5 linked regions of the Macaca mulatta genome follow. The protein of the gene in region 1 binds, or shares a complex with, the protein of each later gene. Links are inferred from orthologs where the notes say so. Each region holds a gene or a part of one and is shown in the gene's direction. Other genes may lie near its edges.

Region 1 (3,500 bases):
GTTCTTTGGTAAATATAATCATGTTAATTGTTATAGCTCTTTTTGCGTACTGTGAAATTATACTTCAGTTCAAACTAATTTCACACAGTTACTTTAAAACTTTGCTTTCTTTTTGGAAGTCATAGTCCTGAATCACTGTGTTCAGGAACATTTTTTTGTGCTTATTAGAAATAAGTTATCCAGAGTCAAGATGGCTTATTTTTTCCCTTATTTGAATATATTTTTTAGTTTATTTTTATCATATTCTATGATGTAGCCATTTTGTATTAATTCATAGTACCAGAGCCCCAAATGAATCCATAAATATTGTATAGCTACAGGGATTTCAGAAGAACTAAGAATATACTTGTTAGCTCTTTCCTTGCCAAGTAGACAGTGTGTTTAGGAATTTTTGCTTGTGTTTTGCTTAATAATCCCTGACTTCAGAATCTTTGCACAAAAAGAATATTACATAATTCTTTCACATCTCCAGAGTTAAGATTATTATTTAAGATCTCCATGGCATGCCCTAAGTATTGATTCAGTTGCTTCTTGCTTCAGCCGCAACTCTCAATTTCCTATGGCTATGGAAGAACCCTGTGTAGCGCCTAAGCAACTTGCTTGATTTATCTCCTGTCTGTCTGCTCATGTGTCATCCTTCTCCTCCTCTTCTTTTTACTGTATGTTGCCACTTTACCAGTTTCATCTGCAGTCATGTCATCTTAGCTCTCTATCCTTTCGTAGTCATAGCTATTCTCAATAGGTTAAATTTTATGGTCAGCCCTAATTTATCTCTGGAGCCTTAGATTTGCATTACCAACTGCTTGAACATACATGTTTTTTTGTTGTTTGTTTGGTTGGTTGGTTGGTTTTTTAGCACCCGAAGCTCAAACAGAACTCCTCTTCTTGTTTAAACGCAGATCTCTTCTCTTTCCTTTTTGATTGTGTCATCAGCCTCCCAGTTCTTCATTTTTGAACCTGGTTATCACCTGTGCTTACCTTTGTTCAGGATAATTCTATCTCACATAAAAAAAAATACCATATTTGCTCTCGTGTCCCTGCATTGCCATTCTTTTCTTAAGACTTAAAATCAGAATGAAGAATGTTCATTCATATGTGTTTGTACTTTGAGGGTAATCTAGCTAGCTGCCTAGGATATGTAGAGCAAATTGAGGTAGGCACTCAATGTAAGCTGTTTGGCTGAAATATATTTTAATTTAGCAGTTGCATTAGCTTCTGTGGGCCAACAAGATGCTGTTAATTGCTTTAAAATTTTGGAGAACGAAACTTAGGATTTAATAAAATTTGATTTTTTAAAGTATGTGATTTCTAGTGATATAAAATAGTTAAAATGTAAACTTAAAGACAATAACTTTATTACCTTTTTATCCCTAATAAAAATCTCATAATCTGTATCATAGCACATTACACAACATTCCTATGGGCATTTGTCACATTGTATTATACTGGATTCTGTAAGATATAAAAGGAGTATGGGGCTGGTGGGGTGTGATGTTTACTCTTGAGGAGTTCACATTCTAGTTTAGGAGACTCAACACTGAAAAAGAATTTAAGACTTTAAAGCAGTATAACAAAAACTGAAATAGTTATTTCTAGGAGGAGACAAAAGTTTTTAAGTGATAGAGAACCCAGCTAGATTTGATTAATTAGGAAAAGTTAGATGGAGTGCCAATTTTGAGCAAATGTGAAGGCAGGCAGAGATCTCAGCCGGTAAAGTAGAATGAAGAGGAAGTACTGCAGTACCACAGGTGGCAGTTTGCATGTTGGGTCCTCATGACATGGACCTGGGTTGAGCACCAGTGTGGAGGAGAGGATCTCAGAATGATGGCACTGCAGAGCAGGCTGGATAGTAGAAGACCTTGAAAGCCTGGCAGATAATTTTGGATGATTAATTTTTTTTATTGAAGCATTACATATAGCATTACATTGTATACATTATGTATATTATGTACGTACATATGTACACACACACCCTCAGCATAAGTGCATTTTTAAAGGTGAACATACCAGTATCCACCACTCAGGTCAAGAAACCAAACAGTTTCAAGACCCCTGAAAGTCCCATCATGCTTCCTCCGAGTCTTAACCAATCAAAACCTCCCCGCAACACACACGTACACACTCACATCCCATACACAGAGTAATCACTGATTACTCACTGATAATCACTGAAGACCTTAATAAAAGAACGGACACAAAGGAAATATATACCCACTTCACATGTGCCACAGACTCTATTAATTGGTGAGACTTTTGTCCTCACCAATTCATTTTTCAAACAGTGTTGTATCATACAGTATATGATCTTTTTGCATCTAGCTGCTTTTGCTCAATAGTTCACTTATGAGTGAACTCAGTTATTGAGTATAGCAGTAGTACTTTCATTCTCACTTCTTCTGTGTCTTCAGTGATACACAGTTCTGTCAAGTGTATATCTAGAAACTGAATTGCGGGGTCAGAGTGTGTGTGTGATTATCTTTAGATATTGCCAAACAATTTCTGGAGTGTTTGTACTCAGAGGGAGTCTTTTTTAGTCAGTAACCTGAAAGCTGGAGTGTGTCATTCACTTTTTTTGTAACCTCATACTCCTAAACATCATTGTAGACCTTGGTACAATTTTTGAATAAAGAAAAATGAGTGAAGAATGCTAATTAATGTATATATAGAAAAGGGAGGAAAAAATACTGATCAGCATTCAGCCAACATTTTTTGATCCACCGTTGAGCCAGAACTGAAATAGCATGCCGTCATCAAGCATCTGAGTTGGGGTGTAGAGGACAGAAGATAAGAGGATAAAAGATCTAGCCTTTGGAGATTGAGGCAGGAACAAAGATCATGATGAACACGGAATGCCATGTAGAGGAAATTTTTTGTTTAATTTTAGGGATAACTTACAGTCATTAAAGGTAATTAACATGGAGTGTTTTTCATGTAGAAGAAATAGTGTCTCCCATTCTAGAAGGGAAAGCACAGTTAAGGAGTCCATGAATGAAGCTGTATGAAACTGACTTCAGTATTTTAAGCAGTTATTTTAACTTTCTACATTATATTTCTTTCCTTTTTCCATCTCAGGATCAAACACATATGAAGAGGCAGCTGCATATATTCAATGTCAGTTTGAAGACCTCAATAAAAGAAAGGACACAAAGGAAATATACACCCACTTCACATGTGCCACAGATACTAAGAATGTGCAGTTTGTTTTTGATGCTGTAACAGATGTCATCATAAAAAATAATCTAAAAGATTGTGGTCTCTTCTAAGTTTTGCAGTTAATGGTAAAATGCATTTTCAAACCAAATGAGTACTTATATATGGATCTCTGTAGACTAGAGTCTTGCAGCAACACAGAATGTAATATAAGGCAAATGCATCTGGGACCTGACCAAAGTTGTTCTGTTTTGTTTTTTTAACTGAAAGTAACAGAAGGACCTTTCTTAAATGTGACAGATGGTCCTGCAGTGTGAAACTGAAGGACAGTGTTAAAGCTGGGCTCTAGT
Region 2 (4,155 bases), on another chromosome or scaffold:
CTGCGCCCTGGCTCAGACACCTCGCACCCGGCTGGCTCAGACACCTCAACCTGCGCCCTGGCTCAGACACCTCAACCTGCGCCCTGGCTCAGACACCTCGCACCCAGCTGGCTCAGACACCTCAACCTGCGCCCTGGCTCAGACACCTCGCACCCAGCTGGCTCAGACACCTCTACCTGCGCACTGGCCCAGACACCTCGCACCCGGCTGGCTCTCAGGCCAGACAGACTGGGAAGCCCATCTCTCTCGTAGGAAGTCCAGATGGGAAACAGCTTCTCGACAGACCACATCACAGCACCAGATCTAACGGTGACCTTCAGAATTATTTTTCAGATTGAATTAGGATCGAATCTAAGAATTCTAAATTCAAAATGCAGCAGAAAAACAAAACACACACACACGAAGCCTAAGTTCTGGAGGGACACGCCCTTGGGTTCAAATCCTGGCTCTGTCGCTTCCTACTGTTGGCTGATGGGTGAGTTTCTTCATGTGCTTGAGCCTCAGTTTCCTTGTCTGTGAAATGGGGCAATAATCCCAGCTGCACGGGGTGATGCAAAGAGACAAATTTAAGATACGGCCCCCGAAATGCTAGCCACATACATACAGTTTTCAATGTTTAAACAACAAAATGTAAAGTCTTTTGAAACCAGGAAAGGCGATTTGGCTTCCCATGTTGCTGGATGTATCATTTTTAGAAAGACAGAAACGAACTTTGTTCACTCAGTCTCAGAGGCGGCCGCCGGCAGCACTCAAAGGCACCCCAGCCGGGAGCCAGGCCAGGGAGGAGCCCCGTGGCCAGCTTTCGGATTCACGGGCTCCCGTGCCGAAGGGGAGCTGCACCGGCGGGCACCCGGCCTCTGAGCTGAGCCGCATCCCCACGGGCAGGACAGCGCCCCATTATGAGGCTCCTGCAGCTGTGCCTCGCTCCAGATAAAGGCCATGATTTATTCGGCATGCCCAAATGGGGCCTCATTATACGGGGCAGGACACAAGGACCCTACAGCAAGTGTCCTCAAAGAGTCGCCTCTCACTCAGTGAGCAATCCTCCTCGGACTCCCACCCTCCGATCACAGGCCCCCTCCGCTGTCTGCGGGCGCAGGCCTGAGAGCGCCGCCTGTTGCCATGGCAGCCGGCCCCTCCCTGCCCCCCATCAGTAGGAAATCATCCCCTTCTGAAACGTCCTGTTGTGTCCCTCAGCTCCAGCCTAAGCCCCCCAGCCAGCCCCCGCCTGCTCTGAGTCTGAGACAGTCACACACTCAGCCTCTGTGGCCAAGCTGGGGGCGGGGGGCACGGGCTAGGGACACACTAGAATATTCACGCTCTGGTGGCAGCAGCCGCAGCCAGAGGAGCGGCCGCCACACAAGGAACCCCTCAGGAATGAAGCAGCCTTTCAGGGCCAGAGGGGCTGTGGTCTCCCTTCTTCCCTTAAATAGCCAGCGTTCCACCCACAGCGGCACAGAGCCCTCTGCCACCGACACCCACGGGCGGAGATCACCTGCTGCCCCACAGACCCCTGCCCCTTCCTCCTGGACCAGCGGCTAGAGGTAAGGGGCAGGCCGGGTGCGGCGGGCTGGGAGCCCAGGACTAAGCAGAGGAAACACTCAGCGGGGAACCCTGCCCAGGGAGACGGGCAGCAGCCTGTCTCGTGCCATGTCTTTGGTGATGGTCTGACCTGTGCATTGAAGGCTGACCCATCTGAATTCACAGCAGCCCACAAAGCGGTGTTTTGTCCCGCTGATGGGGGCTTGCAGAGGGGAAGTGGCTTGCCCGCAGTCCAGGCTGCAATGGCAGCACCCCTGCCCCTAACCATGAGACAGCCTTGACCCATACGGGAGCCAGATGCCTGGGAGAGGGTTCAGGCCAGGGATGGACTGGCACTAGTGCAAAGGTAACTGCCACCACCTGGCCATGGCAGCTGCTACCACAGGCCCTCCCTGAGGCCACGCGTGCCCACCCGCCACCTCCACAGAGGCCTGAGACCTGTCCTAGACGCTCAGCTCACCCACAGCCATGGGACCCAACTCTGCCCAGGCCCTGGCCCGTTCCACGCCCCTTCCTCTTAGGAACACCCGCTCAGTGGCCATCTGAGCAGTGAGCCGTGAGGAACCAGTGAGTCTAGGCTGAAGTTCGTTTCTAAAGGGCAATGGAGAGTGAAACAGGGCCCATCTCAGACCAAGCTGCAGCAACCAGTATCAGAACTCCTCAAACGAGGGACAGAAAGGGAGGAGAAACCTCAGCAAACCTGAAACGAACCAGGAAGCGGTTTAAGATGGAGTGAGTCTCAGTCCCAGAGAGGGCGAGGTGGACGCCCTTCGGCCGGGGCAGGAAGCGGAGGGCAGTGCCCAGGCTGAGACTCCAGGGCTGGAGGCAGGAGGCACCACAGGCCCACCTAGTGCCATGAGATATGCTAGCCCTGCTGTCACTCAGGGCCCCAAGCCCAGTAACACTCTGTTGTCACTGTCTTGAAACTCTTCCTTTTTGAGCAAGGGGCTGCACATTCTCATTCCACACGCGGGCCCCTAAAATTAGGGAGTGGTCCCAGGGCCGGGAGGAGGTGCTGAGCCTGGGAGACAACTCCATGGCAAGCTCTGAGACCGAGTCACACTCCTGCCCTGGCCGAGGCGCCCTGGCAGTCTCCAGAGGCAAGGCAGTCCCCTGGGGGACCAGGGTTTCCCTGGTCTTACTTCCAGCTCCAGGGCCAATGTCCCCTGGTCAAGTGACCTAGGGCAAGTTAGCAGACACTCAGCCTTGATTCCCTAATCTGTAAAATGGGGCTAAAACTGGTTTGAGCCAGCACAGGCAGGCCCCCACCATGCCAGGCAGAGTGGTCAGTCGTACCTATGAGCTGCTCTCTCCTGGGGCCAGGTGATACCTGCACAGTGGGGCACAGTACAGGCCCGAGGGACAGTCTAGGGTGGTGGGCACCCACCTTGGCCCCTTCCCACCCCCAGGTTCTAACAAGGATCCCTCACTCACTGAGCCCTCTCTCCTCTTCCAGTCTCCAGGGCCTCCCCGCACACACCTTGCTCCTCTCCTGCCAACCTGAAAACAGCACACCTGTGTGCCCCTCCCATCTACCATGGGCTGTCCTCTCTGCCTGCCCGTGCACCTGCCCTGGAGCCCTGTTCCTCCAGTCTCTGGGTCCTCACCCCCAGCACGTGCAACACGACACCCTCAAAGTCACAGCCCCCCCACCCCCGCCATCCCATGGCACCTGCTCCCTGTCCTCCCCTGCCTCACAGGCCCTGTCAAGGGCTGTGTCCCTCCCTCCTTTTACCTCTCCTCCACAGCCCCCTTCAGAGCCCTCAGCCCTTCCCCAGGGCTCCAGCCAAGCCTGTCTCCCTCTCCCGAGGATCACTCACCCCGCCTTCGGCCCTCAGCTCTCCGCCCGCACCGCACTGTGGTTTTTGCAGTCCTAGGGAAAGTGCCAGCCGAGACCATCCAGCCCAAGTCAGAGGACTGTGAAACCTGGATTCCTGGGGAATGGGATCCCCGTGAGGAACTCCACATGGGACTAAGAACAGACCCTGTTCCTGGAAGTGGCAGGAAACCATCTCTGGTGTTAGAACTTCAGGCATCTTCAAACACTCTGAAGCCAGGGGAATCTTTTCAGGTAGGGGAACCTGCCTAGAGAGATAGCTAAAAGGTAATATTATTAGGCAGTTGCCCTCCCCTTTGCTTGAGGACATTGATGGCCAGGTGCTTGGGCCAGCCCTCACGCTCCATGTGAGGGCCACAGCAGCTGGCCGCTCGCTCTCCTGAGGAAGGGTACGGCCTGCCCTTCCCTAGGGCTAGGGCCACCACCGTGCATGCTTCTCCTCTATGTGAGGATGGCTCCAGCCTCCTCCTCGAGCAGCTGCTGTGCCCGTGAACAGTCATCATGCCCTCTCTGCCCCATGCCACCAGCATCCTGAGACAGCCCTGTGGAGTAAGAGGAGAGGGGCTGGGCGCAGTGACTCATGCCTGTAATCCAAACAGTTTGGGAGGCCAAGGAGGGAGGATCACTTGAACCCAGGAGTTTGAGACCAGCCTGGGCAACATGGCAAAACCCCATCTCTACCAAAAAATACAAAAATTAGCCAGGCGTGGTGGTGTGTGCCTGTAGTTCCAGCTACTCAGGAGGCTGAGGTGGGAGGATCACTTGAGCCCTGGGGG
Region 3 (4,198 bases), on another chromosome or scaffold:
CTCTGGTCCCCTACCCCTGATCTGACATCCCCAGTCACAAATACTATGCCCAGTTTCTGCCTCTGGGGGAGAGCCCAGAAAAGGACAGAAATGAAGTAGGAAAGGGCCCGGTTCTGGCCTGGCTTCCCCTCTGGAAGTGAGGCATTGCACAGGGAGGCGTACATAACAGCAGCCCCTTGACTCCAAGGACTCCGGGTTTGAGACGGACACACTGGTATGGATTAACATGCCATGGAGACAGAGCTCACAATAAAAATGGCTCAGATGCCACTTCAAAGAACCAGCGAACGCTTTTCAGTCTGTGGAGTCAGAGTGGGGATGAGGAGAGGGGAAAGGCTTCACGGGGCCTGGGGGGAAGGAAATGGAGTCACCGTGGTTTAGTGATCAGACCAGCAGATTAGAGAGTCTGGTGTCTTGTTAGGAAAAGCATACTGGCTCTGCAGGCAGACAAGCGTGAGAGCTTGAATCTTGATTCTTTGGCTTAACTAGCCCGGTGATCTTGGCAGGGTTCACCAGCTTGCCTGAGCCTCGTTTTCTCCATCTGTAAAGTGGAGAGGGAGAGACCACTGCCTACCACGCAGGTGGCCCACGATAGGAAGTGAGGCATCGTCTTATATATGCTGGAGCCACACTGAGACCCAGCACAGAAACTGAAAGTCCCCCAGAAAACAAACCCCCGTCCTTTATTTGCATTTCTCGAAGAATGTGAAAAGGGGAAGCCAGTTCAAATCGGCTCTTCCCAAAAGTGACGCTACTCAGTTCTTGCACAACCCATAGCTGCCAGAGAAAGTCCTGAAGACCAGCCACCCTGAGAAACCTCACAGCTTATCTGTCGTTCAAGGTCCTCTGCACCCGTTCCCTAATTCTCTTCACTGATTCAGACTTTCCAGTTAGGTGCCCCAGCTCCCCTCTCGCTTCTCAGGTTTGATCTTTCTCCACCCATTCACCTGCTTCGGCAAAGGGGCCCATTCTCCTTAGAGGGCAGGGGTGTGATTATCTGACCATCAAGGAGATCGGCTCCTGGCATGTGGCAGGTTTCCCCAAACTGCCACCTTCCTTTCCCATCCTCCTTTCCCTCCCATCTCTGCTCAGTACCTGGATGGTAACTCTAGGAATTATGGTGCAGGGAGGCCTTGATCTCCCCATCAATCCACTTTGTCCCTTGTTTGATTTCTCATGAGCACCATTAACTTTTCTGGAGGCAGGTGAGACTTTAAGAACTATTTAAAGGCCAGGCGTGGTGGATCACGCCTGTAATCCCAGCACTCTGGGAAGCCGAGGTAGGCGGATCACCTGAGATCAGGAGTTCAAGACCAGCCTAGCCAACATGGCAAAATCCTCTCTCTACCAAAAATACAAAAATTAGCCGGGCATGGTGGTTCCCACCTGTAATCTCAGCTACTTGGGAGGCTGAGGCAGCAGAATCGCTTGAACCCAGGAGGTGGAGGTTGCGGTGAGCCGAGATCACACTACTGCACTCCAGCCTGGGTGACAGAGCAAGAGTCCGTCTCAAAACAACAACAACAACAACAACAACTGTTTAAATGAGACAGGGAGGGTATTGGGGTGTCTGTGCCCAAAATGAGGTCTGATGTCATTCAACCCTTTTTTCATTTACTCGGCACACAGATACTGAGCACCTGGAAATGCACCCAGTACAGAGCCAGTTGTTAGGGCACCAAAAAGATAAGGCATAGGACCAACCTTGGGGATCTGTAGTCTAGGGCTGCCAAGGGTTTTTAAGGCAAGACCCCCTGAAGGGAGCTGAGGCAGTCCTAAGCCTGAAGGGCCTGGCTCAGGCTCCCTGGCAACCATCGAGCGTCTTCCCCTTCCCACCCTGTCCCTCAGCACAGCTGCTGACATAAACCTACTACATGGCTGATTGACCATGAGATGTGGCCATCAATAGACATTGCTGAAGCATGAAGAACAGGTGCCCAGGAAGCTGGGCGGCCAGGACTCCAGACGCAAGCCGCCGCCCTCCACAACCCCAGCTCTCACCGTCCTCCCAGGGTCCAGATAATGGATCGTGCAATTAGGTTCCCAAACACCTGCTGTGCAACATGCAGTAAACAAAGCAGACCAAAGCCTTTGCCCTCAGGAGGCCCGGCATTCTAGCTCAGGAGCCAGCCAAGACGATGTCGCACTGAAGACAGACAACAAAAGTGAGATTCACGGGAGGGATCAGTGTGGCTGAGGCACCCGGGAAGGCCCTTGGAGGAGGTGACCTTGGGCAAAGATCCAGACGCCAGGTGGGTGGAGCCAAAGCAGAGATGATCTGGAAAACCCAACAGGTCCCCGGGGCTTCACTTTTGCTATAGGAGGGGAAATGGCACTGCTTTGGATTCTTCCTCGGTTTTGTCCCTTTCTCGGTTCCCAACAACAGACGGAACAGTAGGAGGCCGATTCTCTGCTCACAGCGGGTGCTACACCCCATGCGCGGCTCCCGCTGGGGGAGAAAAAGGAGAGCATGGACCAATTTAGTGACTCCAAGGTGTGAAAAGCAGTGAGATGGTGTCTTTGAGGGAGTTAGTGACAGGCTGAGACCCCCTTGCTGTTCCCCCTGAAGCCTGGTGACTGGAGCTGCCAGGAGGCCACACAGAGAGAGGCTGATGATGGGAGACCTGGAATTTGGAAGGGGCAGAGTGGTCAGGTGACCGACACATGCCTGAGAAAACTGATGTGGAGAGGCTGTGTTGTCATTCTCAGGCAGGAAACAGACAGACAGACAGACAGAGACATGGGCACAGTGAGAGACAGGGGCAGAATCACAGAGCAGAGCTGGCTTCTCACCAGCAGGCATGGGCACACCTGAGAGAGCATCCAGAGAGGTTAGAAATCTTCCTTAGGTCCTCCTGGGAGACTCAGGTGACCCAAATGGGAAACATGAAAGGCTGGGAGGATTCCCAGGGCTGAGAGAAGGAAGTTACACAGCCGGCCGGTGCCACATTCCTTGTGCCTCAGGGAGTGCCCCCCAATGTCCCCAGCCATGCACCCTGGGGGGAGTCAGCTTGGACATTTGTGCCACCCCTTGTCAGGCAAAGTGGGGGCCACAACCTGGGTCCTCCAGTGCCAGCCAGCAGAGGCTGCCCCCATCCCTTGCCTTCCTCCTCCTGCTCCTTTCTCCAGCCCTGGAAAGGTCAGAAGTCACCATCCTGGAACTAGAGGGGAAGGAGAGGCAGAACAGAGGGGCCCCTCCTTGCAAAAACGAAAACAAGCCCACAACCTGTGCAGAGCTGCACCTGGGTGTGATCACTCCTTATCCCACACACCCACTGCCACGTGGAGATGGCTTCATGGCTGCGGTCACGGGGCACCCTGTGTTGTCAGAGGTGAGCCAGTGAGACCCGGGGCCTGCCCAGGGGTGCATCGAGGGTGGAGCAGACCTGGCCCCAGCGCGGGTATAAACAAGCAGGAGGGCCGGGGAGGGACTAGCACTGGGTTGTGGCCGAGCCCCCAAGCCCTGCTGTTGCAAGGCACTGGCTACACACCCGGTCCCTACCCAGACAGGACCCCGATTCCTCCCTAGCCCCTCTGTGTTCCAGCATCTTCCCAGCCCCTCACCTCCTCTGGTGTGGCCTCACCTCCAGCCGGGATGCCCCATTAGCTGCTCACCCAAGCTGCTAGAACCTCAGGCTAATGGCCCTGCCACCCGCCCTCCTCCCCTTCCGGCTCACTGCTCATCCCGGGCATCCTCCATCAGCCCGCTGAGGGGACTGCTGAGCCTCACAGACATCTGGCGGTGCCAGGAGGTGGGTCCCTCTCTCTGTGGTTCCTCTCTTCACCTAACTGTTCCCCAGACCTCCAGACCCCTGCCCAGGTGGCCCCTGAGAACTGCTAAGCTCAACCATGACATGGATGGGGCCCAGCTGACCCTTGAGCTCTCCCTGGGGGACCCCCTTTTCCTGCCCCTGGCCACACCCTCACGTCATCCACACCCTTCTCCTCCCTGCTGCCCTGCCGTCTTTCCACTGTGGGGGAGCAGCTCTTGCCTTGCCAGGGAACCGGGGAGGGCAGTGGGCTCAGGAGTCAAACTCCCATTCCCAGGGAAGGCTCAGGCTGTGGGGCCCAGCCCTGTTCTGAATTCTCTCCACCCCTTCTCCCCACAGAGTCTCAGAAGTGGAGAAGCCTTCTTCCTCTGCACCACCCAGCCATGCACCCTGGGGGAGTCGGCTTGGACATCTGTGCCACATCCTAT
Region 4 (4,044 bases), on another chromosome or scaffold:
TACCACAATTTGTTTATCCTTTCTTCTGTTGATGGAAATTGTGGCTGTTTCCAGATTTGAGCTCCTATAAACAAGGCTGCTCTGGACGTTCTTGTGCACGTCTTTTTGTGGAAATATATTTCCTTTTCATTTGGAACTTCTGGTCATAGAATAGGTGTATGTTTAACTTTATTAGGAGCTAACAGACAGCTCTTCAAAGTGGTTGTACCATTTTGCATTCTCATAAAAGCACTGTATGAGAGTTCTGGTTGCTTAAATTCCTCCACAAATTTAGGATAATCAGTCATTTTGATTTTAGTGATTCTAGTGGGTGTGAAAAGTGCTTAGGACAAACTTGGCATAAGATTATCCCCCAAGAGAAGTTATCTATTATTATTATCACCAGATCACGACTCAAGCACTTTTAATAAAGGGCACCCGAGTTCCTTCTTTATTGTAATCATGCCTCACTCTTTTTCTTGTCCTAACCCCTCCAAAAACCACATCACAACCCCCAATATTGGCCATACATCTATTTAAGTATTATGTGTAAATATATATTGGTAAATATACTAAAATATTGGCTTTATAAAGAGGACCAAGTAGAGACATCACTAATGTCCCCTGCAATACCCAGCGAGTGCTCGGAAAATGGCTAGGTTCCTATTTTTCTGCAGCTCCCTAGAATACAAGTCTACACTACTTTGTTCTGGGCTCTGTCCCCACATCTTAGGAGCTGCATTCTCTTTCGAGCTGCACAGCCCTGTGGGACCTCAAACCTTGCCTTGCTTGACAACTGGGAGGTCCCGACCATCAGCACCTTCTCCAGTCTATAAACCTGGGTTGGATGTTCCTAGCTGGACACAGCTTCTCTTGGGGACGCTGTAGAGGAAATCGGGGTCTCGGGTGTAGTTGTGTACCGAGGAACAGAGGCTAGACGTGCTCCGCGGCCTGAGATGAGCTAGGCACGTGCTGGGGGCGGGGTGGCAGAGACAGCTGTGTGGTCCCAGCTGTTCCTGAGCGCACCGCTGAGGGACGCACTCCTTTCTGCAACGGTTGCACCCCAAGTCCTCCTCCCATTCCTATATTTTTCTCCATCCCCTGCCCACGCTTAATTAGTTATCTCCTCCAGACCCCTCCCCACTGGCCTCCTCCCTTGCACACGGGAGCTGGACAGGGAAGGGAGCGCCCGGCTCAGTACTGCGCGAGCCCTGCGGCTGTCCGAGGCCGCGCGGTGGCCAAAGCGCAGCGCGGGAGAGTCTGCAATGTCAGATAACGGCTCCTTCGCCAATTGCTGCGAAGCCGGCGGGTGGGCAGTGCGCCCAGGCTGGTTGGGTACTGGCAGGGGGCAACCCTCCAGGACCCCTCGACCTCCTTGGGTGGCTCCCGCGCTATCCGTGGTGCTCATCGTCACCACCGCCGTGGACGTTGTGGGCAACCTCCTGGTGATCCTTTCCGTGCTCAGGAACCGCAAGCTCCGAAACGCAGGTGAGCACCATTCCTGATGCTGGGTGCTGGGGTCGGGCCCTTCCTTGTCCTCTGGTCTTGTCCCTGACCCCGGGATATGCGCTGCCTTTTCCCTCCTCAGCCCGGGCTCCCCTTTCCCTTCACTCTAACCTAGTCCCTAAGTTTGACTCTGCACTCAAAAGTTAGGGTGAGTTCTGCCCCTCCGAAATGCGACTGCCCAGGATGCACTTGGCACAGAGGGAATTACGGAAAGTTTTACTGGCGCGCTTTTTGGCGCTGTGGGAACCCACGCTGCTGGATGCCATCGCTACCCGTCGCGCTCCAATGTGTGCCTTTCCAGAGGTGCCCACATCAGGCCACAGAACACCACTTGTGCTTGACACCCCACTTCCTTCCTTGCCAAGCACTGTAGCTTTATGTAGTAGTTGCTTAGAAAATCCTTGCTGAAAAAATGAGTTAATCAATGGAAGCATTTCAGTAGGTTTTGTGTCAAAAACTTATCTCCAGGTCATCTGAAGACCCAATTCCAGTGGACAGAGTGTAAATGCAGAAATTGCAGATTCTGCTTGGACTGCACTAAATTGCTTTGAAATATTGTAGTCTTTTCTGAAGACTGGGAATTCCTGGGATTAACTGTGAAAATTAAAGCAATGGTTTGGCTAAATCGTGTTGCAAACCTGAAAATATTTCTCCTATTTCAATTCACTCTCGTTTCAATATTCCCCTAGTCAGGTCTTCAAAGAAAGAAAACCAGAGTGCGGGAGGAGGGGTCGGTGTCTGAACTCTCACCCTCACAGGTCATGGGGCATGCTGACCATTTCAGCCTAGGAGGGAGCTCGGTGACCTGTTAATTTTGCAGTCTCTCAAGTTGGGCCTTGGGGGCAAATTCAAATATTAGAGTGAATTAAAATGGAAAGATAGCAGCAGAAAAACAATTGTATAGCTTAAAAATGCTTTTTTAAGGAGTCAGACCATTTTTAGCAAATGGTAATATCTATTTGGTGTGGTCTGTGACTCTAGAATTTTTTCTTTTTTTCTTTTTTTTTTTTTTTGAGATGGAGTCTCTCGCTCTGTCACCCAGGCTGGAGTGCAGTGGCACAGTCTAGGCTCACTGCAACCTCCGTCTCCCAGGTTCAGGGGATTCTCCTGCCTCAGGGTCATAAGCAGCTGAGATTACAGGTGTGTGCCACTACACCCGGGTAATTTTTTATGTTTTTGGTAGAGACAGGGTTTCACCATGTTGGCCAGGCTGGTCTCAAACTCCTGACCTAAATCAAGTGATCCACCCGCCTCAGCCTCCCAAAGTGCTGGGATTACAGGCATGAGCCACCGCGTCCGGCTGACTCTAGGATTTTTATCTAAAAAAACAAACAAGAAACTGCTCCAACGGTGAGTATCCAGCCATCAAATGGGAAACATAACATTATGAAGAAGAAGTAAGCTTTCTAACTCAGCCACTTCGGTAGTGGTGGCTGTTTTCTGGAATACATTGTTCAAAATATTGTGTCCTTTGAAGAAAAGCTTATATATTAGGGAAGAACAGGTTATGATTAGAAAACTGCATTTAATATTTTTGAGACATTGTCCCTTGCAGCCATCATAAACATTCATTCCCTGAACAGGGAGGCAAAAGGGAGACAACTCCTGGCTCTGTGGGGGAGAAATCGGCCCTCCTGGTTCTGACATTGGCCCCTTCTGTCCCTGACTTATTGAGTATTTAGAGCAGGTCTGTCAGGCCGTGGCTCCCTACTCAGTAATTTGGATTGCCCACCGTGAGAAAGGTGGTTGAGGGAAGTAGGAGTTGCTTCCTTTTGCTGGAAGGAGAAAAGCACCCCTCCCCCACTGCCTCCTACAAAGGGCTGGGCTTTTCTGTGATCCTGGCAGGGTCTACAGAATCCTTCCCAATTTGAGAGCGTCACTGGGGAGGGTCATGAGCATGTTCAATTGCTGGCATATCCTCTCTTCTATCTTTCCTACCTCCCGATGTGTCTGCTACAGCCCAGCACCGGAAAAATAAATAAATAAATAACACTATATCTAAATGACATCAATTCCTGCCACTGCTACAGTGTTGCAATTTAACCAGTTCTTATGTGACCACTGGCTTTATTGGTGATAGTCACAAACAATTGTAGTACTGACTTGAACTAAATGATCTCAGCAGAGTGAGATTTCAAAAGGTACTTAAAACCTACAGCACCCATTCTACTCTTAATCAGGCCTTGTCTTACTGAAGAGTTTGGATTTACTTTAAGAAACGTTTCTTCAGTCCTTTCCATACTGAAGTCTGGCTCCTTAAATCATTGGTATTAATAACTTAAGTCTGTGACAATGAGAATACATATATTTCCGATAACCAAGATGCAGAGCCCATATTGAGATCACAGCATGTTTCCCAGGAGACACCAGTATCCTTTACTTGCCTATCACAAACCCATCCTCTGCGGAGCAGCTCTGTATCATCCCTAACAGTGTCGCTCCTGATGGCAGGGTGAGTGGTTACATTAATTGTCCTTTTTTTCAGGGATATCCTATCTGCGGCTTCGGTTGCTGTATGTGGTGGGTTGACTTCAGAGATAGCACTAGAGAAAGGCAGAC
Region 5 (3,959 bases), on another chromosome or scaffold:
GGGGAGAGGGGGGAGCGGGGGAGAGGGGGGAGCGGGGAGGGTGCAATGGAAAAAGAATGGTAAATTCACATTTGAATTTTGGAGCCAACACCTACTAGCTGCACATCTTTGAGCAAGTTATTTAATATGAGTCTTAGTTATGTGACTGGCACATAGTAGGTGTTCAATAAAATACTCATCCCTATCCCATTTGTCTGTCATCTCCAACTGTGATCTTGAGCAAGTTTATTTAGCTTTCTGATTCTCGGTTTCTTCAACTATAAAATGGAGATGATGATGAAGAAGAAGATCTTACTTAGCCCCATGTCCATCGGGGTAGGAGCCTCGTAAAGGGTACTTATCAGTATAATTAGAAACTGTTGGCCGGGCGCGGTGGCTCAAGCCTGTAATCCCAGCACTTTGGGAGGCCGAGACGGGCGGATCACGAGGTCAGGAGATCGAGACCATCCTGGCTAACACGGTGAAACCCCATCTCTACTAAAAAATATAAAAAACTAGCCGGGCGAGGTGGCGGGCGCCTGTAGTCCCAGCTACTCGGGAGACTGAGGCAGGAGAATGGCGTGAACCCGGGAGGCGGAGCTTACAGTGAGCTGAGATCCGGCCACTGCACTCCAGCCTGGGCGACAGAGCGAGACTCCGTCTCAAAAAAAAAAAAAAAAAAAAAAAAAAGAAACTGTTTTGCCAGGTTTGCACCCTGTGCGCCTGTCCTTCAGGACCCAGCAGGCTCAGACTTACCTGCGATCAAAGCCCTGTGTGCCTCTCAGACCCACCAGCCCCGTGGAATCTCTTGCAACACGACACCGCTGCGTGAGTTTTCTGTTGTTACTAGAGGTCAGCAGGTATTTTTCCCTAGGAAACTGGGTGTGCACGTCTCATCCCCGTGCCAATTCTCTTGCCGCTTCTCCTTCCACACGCGGCGTCCTCCGGAGGGAGGGTGCAGCTCCGCGTGCTCCAGCTGCGGCGAAAGTTGCGCCCGGCCCAGTCTGGCTGTGGGCCCCGCCTCCGCCTTCTCAGTGTCCAGCCCCGCCCTCCGATTGGTCAGCAGTGCCCAGCCCCGTTCCTCCGAGGGGATTAAAGCAGCGGCCGCGAAGTCTGGGTGCTTGCAGGCTGCTAAAGCCAACCCCAGTTGATTAGCACCTGCTACCGCGCTTTGCTTCCTAGCGCTCGCGGAGCCTCCTGGAGCCTGCCACCATCCTGCCGGCTACGTGCTGCCCCGCGCCCGCAGCCATGTGCCGTACCCTGGCCGCCTTCCCCACCACCTGCCTGGAGAGGTAAGGGGAGCTTGTCCAACTGCTTGCGGGAAGTCCCACCAACTCTTAGGGAGTGGAGCGGCAGGCCTGGGGACCTGGGTGGGCGCGGGGATGGGGCGCTGGAGGCTTAAGTAGAGAGGTAGAGGCGAACCTGATGCCACGTGCTTAGATTCCAGGAGCAGGGAGAAAGCAAGGGGAAGGGAAGCAAGGGCCCGCTGCTTGCTGCCATCCCCATCCTCTGACAAACTGCAGTCGTGCTCAGGTGACCTGCTGAAGACCTGGCTGCAGGAAGGCCACGTTGACATTTCCAGGCAGAACTGAGCCTGCCTATTGCTTAAGCACTTGTTTTTCATTCCTCAGACCAGAGCTAGGGGCATTGCCTCCTCTGCCCCTGGAAGGCAGGGAGATTTTTTTTTTTTTTTTTTTTTTTTTGTGGGGTGTGGTGGGGCAGGGGGATCCCACTGTTGAGGGTGTGTCCATATTCCAGAGAGCAACTCAACAGCTTCCAGTCGTTACTGGCTGGGAAGGAAAACGTAAAGATGAAGGCAGGAATCAGTTTCCCACAGTTCAGAAATACTCCTGAAAAGAATGCTGAGTTCTTTTCTGAATCAACAGGCACGAAGAGAGATCAGTGTGACTTTAGGGAAAAGCCCATATATGAGCGTGTGTATTACCCAGAAAGTGTAAGGTCTACCACGGCATAGCTCAAACATTGCTTTTGTTGCTTTGGGGTTGATGATACTGATAAGCACAATTTGGGTCCTGGGAACAGCCAAGAGTTTCCAGGAACTCTTGAGGCTAAACTTTGGGTGGCACCACCCAGAGCTCTTCTGGGACACATAAACCTCTCCACACTGGCTGAGCAAATGAGAATCCTTTCATGTTCCTGATTTGTTTTTCAGAGCCAAAGAGTTCAAGACACGTCTGGGGATCTTTCTTCACAAATCAGAGCTGGGCTGTGATACTGGGAGTAGTGGCAAGTTCGAGTGGGGCAGTAAACACGGCAAAGAGAAGTAAGTGTTGCTGACCAGCTCAGGGCTCCGAGAGGGAAGGGAGCGGGAAGGAGGGAAATATAAGGAGAAGCCAGGACACACTAAGTGGATCTTGGCAACGCCTCCCTAGAGATTTTAGTGAGACTTGTTGCTGGTCTGTTATGACTACTTGGCTCATGGGTGAGTGGGTAGGTGGCTCCAGGGCTCCAAGTCTATCCACGGATGAGGGCACACAGGGCATGAATGCCTAGTTAACCAGACTCTCCCACCTGGGGTTTCATTGCACATGCATCCAGGGCTAGGACAGAGTCCAAGGCCACTTGAGGTTTTTATTAATGACTCTAGCATGCACCTTGCCTAGAAACCCTTTCATATTGGCTATCAACTGTACCAAACTCTGGAGTTATGTGTAGATGTAATCTCTATTTATGAGGCCCTTATGTCCTTGGGAAGGTGTACAAAACAAATCTTTGAGAGTCAGGGGAATTGAAATAATTTTTGGACAGAGAAGAGACAGGCTTAGAGATATTAACTGAAGACTAAAGGAGTCCCTGGCTTTGATTTCTGGTTGCCGAATTGTCCTCTAGAAAACATTACTGCTTACCCTAAGTCCAACTAGGAGTTTGAGGTGTCAGCTTCAACAATCACCAAGGCAAGCCTTTCTGTGAATTTTACGCAATTTTCCATCAGAGTTCTGGCTAGAATTTGTACTATGCTTTGGTTTGTTGATTTTTTTTTCTTACTCTTTTTTTTTCTTTTTGTCTTTTAGTAGAAACTTCTCAGAAGATGTGCTGGGGTGGAGAGAGTCGTTCGACCTGCTGCTGAGCAGTAAAAGTGAGTAGGAGCCTTTTGTGTCTGTCTCTGGGTGGCACGTGTATACTCATGTGCTTTGGAACCAGCTCCAGGACTGCTGAGAGCCTGGGCAGAATAATAGTAGTAGTAATAATAATAATAATGATCCCCTAGTGTGCCAGCCTCTATTCAACACACAAAGGCAGGTCCTTGTTCAAGAAAATTATGTTCTAAAAATAGAGCCATTACGTGCAATTGCTTTCCTTTCTTCTTGTATTCCCTGCTGTCCCTCTGGCTGACCTGTTTCCGCCTCTTTCCTGTAACCCCAGATGGAGTGGCTGCTTTCCACGCTTTCCTCAAGACGGAGTTCAGTGAGGAGAACCTGGAGTTCTGGCTGGCCTGTGAGGAGTTCAAGAAGATCCAATCAGCTACCAAGCGGGCCTCCAGGGCACACCGGATCTTTGAGGAGTTCATCTGCAGCGAGGCCCCTAAAGAGGTTAGAGCCCCCATATGCCCAGTGAATCCTCACGACCCTGCCTGCTCCTTCCCCTCTGAGAGTGAGGGCTAGTGGGGAGGAAAGGCTAGGTGTAGAAGTAGAAGGGCCTTACTTGGCACAGGGGTGAATGGGCTTCTGTGACCAGACACTAGAAAAGCCGGGCTCAGTGCCACTCCTGGGTGCTTAACCCTATGACTCATGATGGGGCAGGATGGATTGGCAGGTTTTTCGGCTTCTATCCATACCCATCTTTATAAATCCATCCCTTTTTAGAGGCTCAAAACACTTACCAACTGGGGAGACAAGGTCAGCACAGGGACCTTATATAACCTGGCTCAGTCCCCAGGCTGACCTGCCTGAGGCCTGCAGGTCTGTAGTCTGTGATTTTTTTGTCTACCTTCCCTCCCGGCCACTATGCATGGCAGCTGC

What was found. The genes of interacting proteins can lie anywhere in the genome.
Region 2: the proteins of GNAI1 (region 1) and GPR17 are in contact, whole or in part, in a cryo-EM structure (PDB 7Y89), measured with the Homo sapiens proteins. The link is inferred for Macaca mulatta from reciprocal best matches to the Homo sapiens genes GNAI1 and GPR17. Residues at the interface, in NP_002060.4 of Homo sapiens: Glu28, Arg32, Lys192, Asp193, Leu194, Asp315, Thr316, Glu318, Tyr320, Phe336, Thr340, Asp341, Ile343, Ile344, Lys345, Asn347, Leu348, Lys349, Asp350, Cys351, Gly352, Leu353, Phe354; in NP_001154887.1 of Homo sapiens: Thr92, Ala94, Asp156, Arg157, Ala160, Ile161, Pro164, Val165, Leu168, Lys169, Arg171, Arg172, Pro173, Leu247, Leu251, Arg252, Val253, Glu254, Leu257, Lys260, Ala261, Met264, Ile265, Ala329, Glu330, Lys331.
Region 3: the proteins of GNAI1 (region 1) and FFAR1 are in contact, whole or in part, in a cryo-EM structure (PDB 9K1C), measured with the Homo sapiens proteins. The link is inferred for Macaca mulatta from reciprocal best matches to the Homo sapiens genes GNAI1 and FFAR1. Residues at the interface, in NP_002060.4 of Homo sapiens: Glu28, Ala31, Arg32, Leu194, Asp315, Thr316, Lys317, Glu318, Tyr320, Phe336, Thr340, Asp341, Ile343, Ile344, Lys345, Asn347, Leu348, Asp350, Cys351, Gly352, Leu353, Phe354; in NP_005294.1 of Homo sapiens: Arg37, Thr39, Pro40, Ser41, Leu100, Gly103, Arg104, Gly107, Ala108, Pro111, Leu112, Tyr114, Gln115, Arg118, Arg119, Cys205, Leu209, Ser212, Gly213, Leu214, Thr215, Arg217, Arg218, Arg221, Ala222, Val225, Ala226, Tyr278.
Region 4: the proteins of GNAI1 (region 1) and MTNR1B are in contact, whole or in part, in a cryo-EM structure (PDB 7VH0), measured with the Homo sapiens proteins. The link is inferred for Macaca mulatta from reciprocal best matches to the Homo sapiens genes GNAI1 and MTNR1B. Residues at the interface, in NP_002060.4 of Homo sapiens: Arg24, Arg32, Glu318, Ile319, Tyr320, Phe334, Asp337, Ala338, Asp341, Ile344, Lys345, Asn347, Leu348, Lys349, Asp350, Cys351, Gly352, Leu353, Phe354; in NP_005950.1 of Homo sapiens: Arg138, Tyr141, Ile142, His149, Arg150, Arg154, Ile223, Val227, Ala230, Arg231, Lys233, Ala234, Lys235, Thr252, Met253, Asn312, Asn314.
Region 5: the proteins of GNAI1 (region 1) and RGS16 are in contact, whole or in part, in a crystal structure (PDB 2IK8), measured with the Homo sapiens proteins. The link is inferred for Macaca mulatta from reciprocal best matches to the Homo sapiens genes GNAI1 and RGS16. Residues at the interface, in NP_002060.4 of Homo sapiens: Val179, Lys180, Thr181, Thr182, Gly183, Ile184, Val185, Gln204, Ser206, Glu207, Lys209, Lys210, His213, Ala235, Glu236, Asp237, Glu238; in NP_002919.3 of Homo sapiens: Glu86, Phe87, Ser88, Glu90, Asn91, Ala126, Pro127, Glu129, Val130, Asn131, Ile132, Asp133, His134, Leu162, Lys165, Asp166, Ser167, Arg170.

What each region holds. Positions count from the first base shown.
Region 1 is NC_133408.1:139,270,389-139,273,888, reverse strand, and holds part of GNAI1 (guanine nucleotide-binding protein G(i) subunit alpha-1), read left to right. Parts: intron 1-3,072; coding exon 3,073-3,263; 3' UTR 3,264-3,500. UniProt on the Homo sapiens protein: Guanine nucleotide-binding proteins (G proteins) function as transducers downstream of G protein-coupled receptors (GPCRs) in numerous signaling cascades.
Region 2 is NC_133417.1:9,632,012-9,636,166, reverse strand, and holds the start of GPR17 (uracil nucleotide/cysteinyl leukotriene receptor), read left to right. Parts: upstream 1-1,355; 5' UTR 1,356-1,544; intron 1,545-3,362; coding exon of another isoform or gene 3,363-3,689; exon of another isoform or gene 3,690-4,155. UniProt on the Homo sapiens protein: Dual specificity receptor for uracil nucleotides and cysteinyl leukotrienes (CysLTs). Signals through G(i) and inhibition of adenylyl cyclase. May mediate brain damage by nucleotides and CysLTs following ischemia.
Region 3 is NC_133424.1:46,625,733-46,629,930, forward strand, and holds the start of FFAR1 (free fatty acid receptor 1), read left to right. Parts: upstream 1-1,398; 5' UTR 1,399-2,252; intron 2,253-3,129; 5' UTR 3,130-3,332; intron 3,333-3,545; 5' UTR 3,546-3,752; intron 3,753-4,109; 5' UTR 4,110-4,198.
Region 4 is NC_133419.1:93,824,639-93,828,682, forward strand, and holds the start of MTNR1B (melatonin receptor type 1B), read left to right. Parts: upstream 1-1,244; coding exon 1,245-1,467; intron 1,468-4,044.
Region 5 is NC_133406.1:40,066,430-40,070,388, reverse strand, and holds the start of RGS16 (regulator of G-protein signaling 16), read left to right. Parts: upstream 1-1,159; 5' UTR 1,160-1,227; coding exon 1,228-1,271; intron 1,272-2,152; coding exon 2,153-2,263; intron 2,264-3,011; coding exon 3,012-3,076; intron 3,077-3,363; coding exon 3,364-3,530; intron 3,531-3,959. UniProt on the Homo sapiens protein: Regulates G protein-coupled receptor signaling cascades. Inhibits signal transduction by increasing the GTPase activity of G protein alpha subunits, thereby driving them into their inactive GDP-bound form.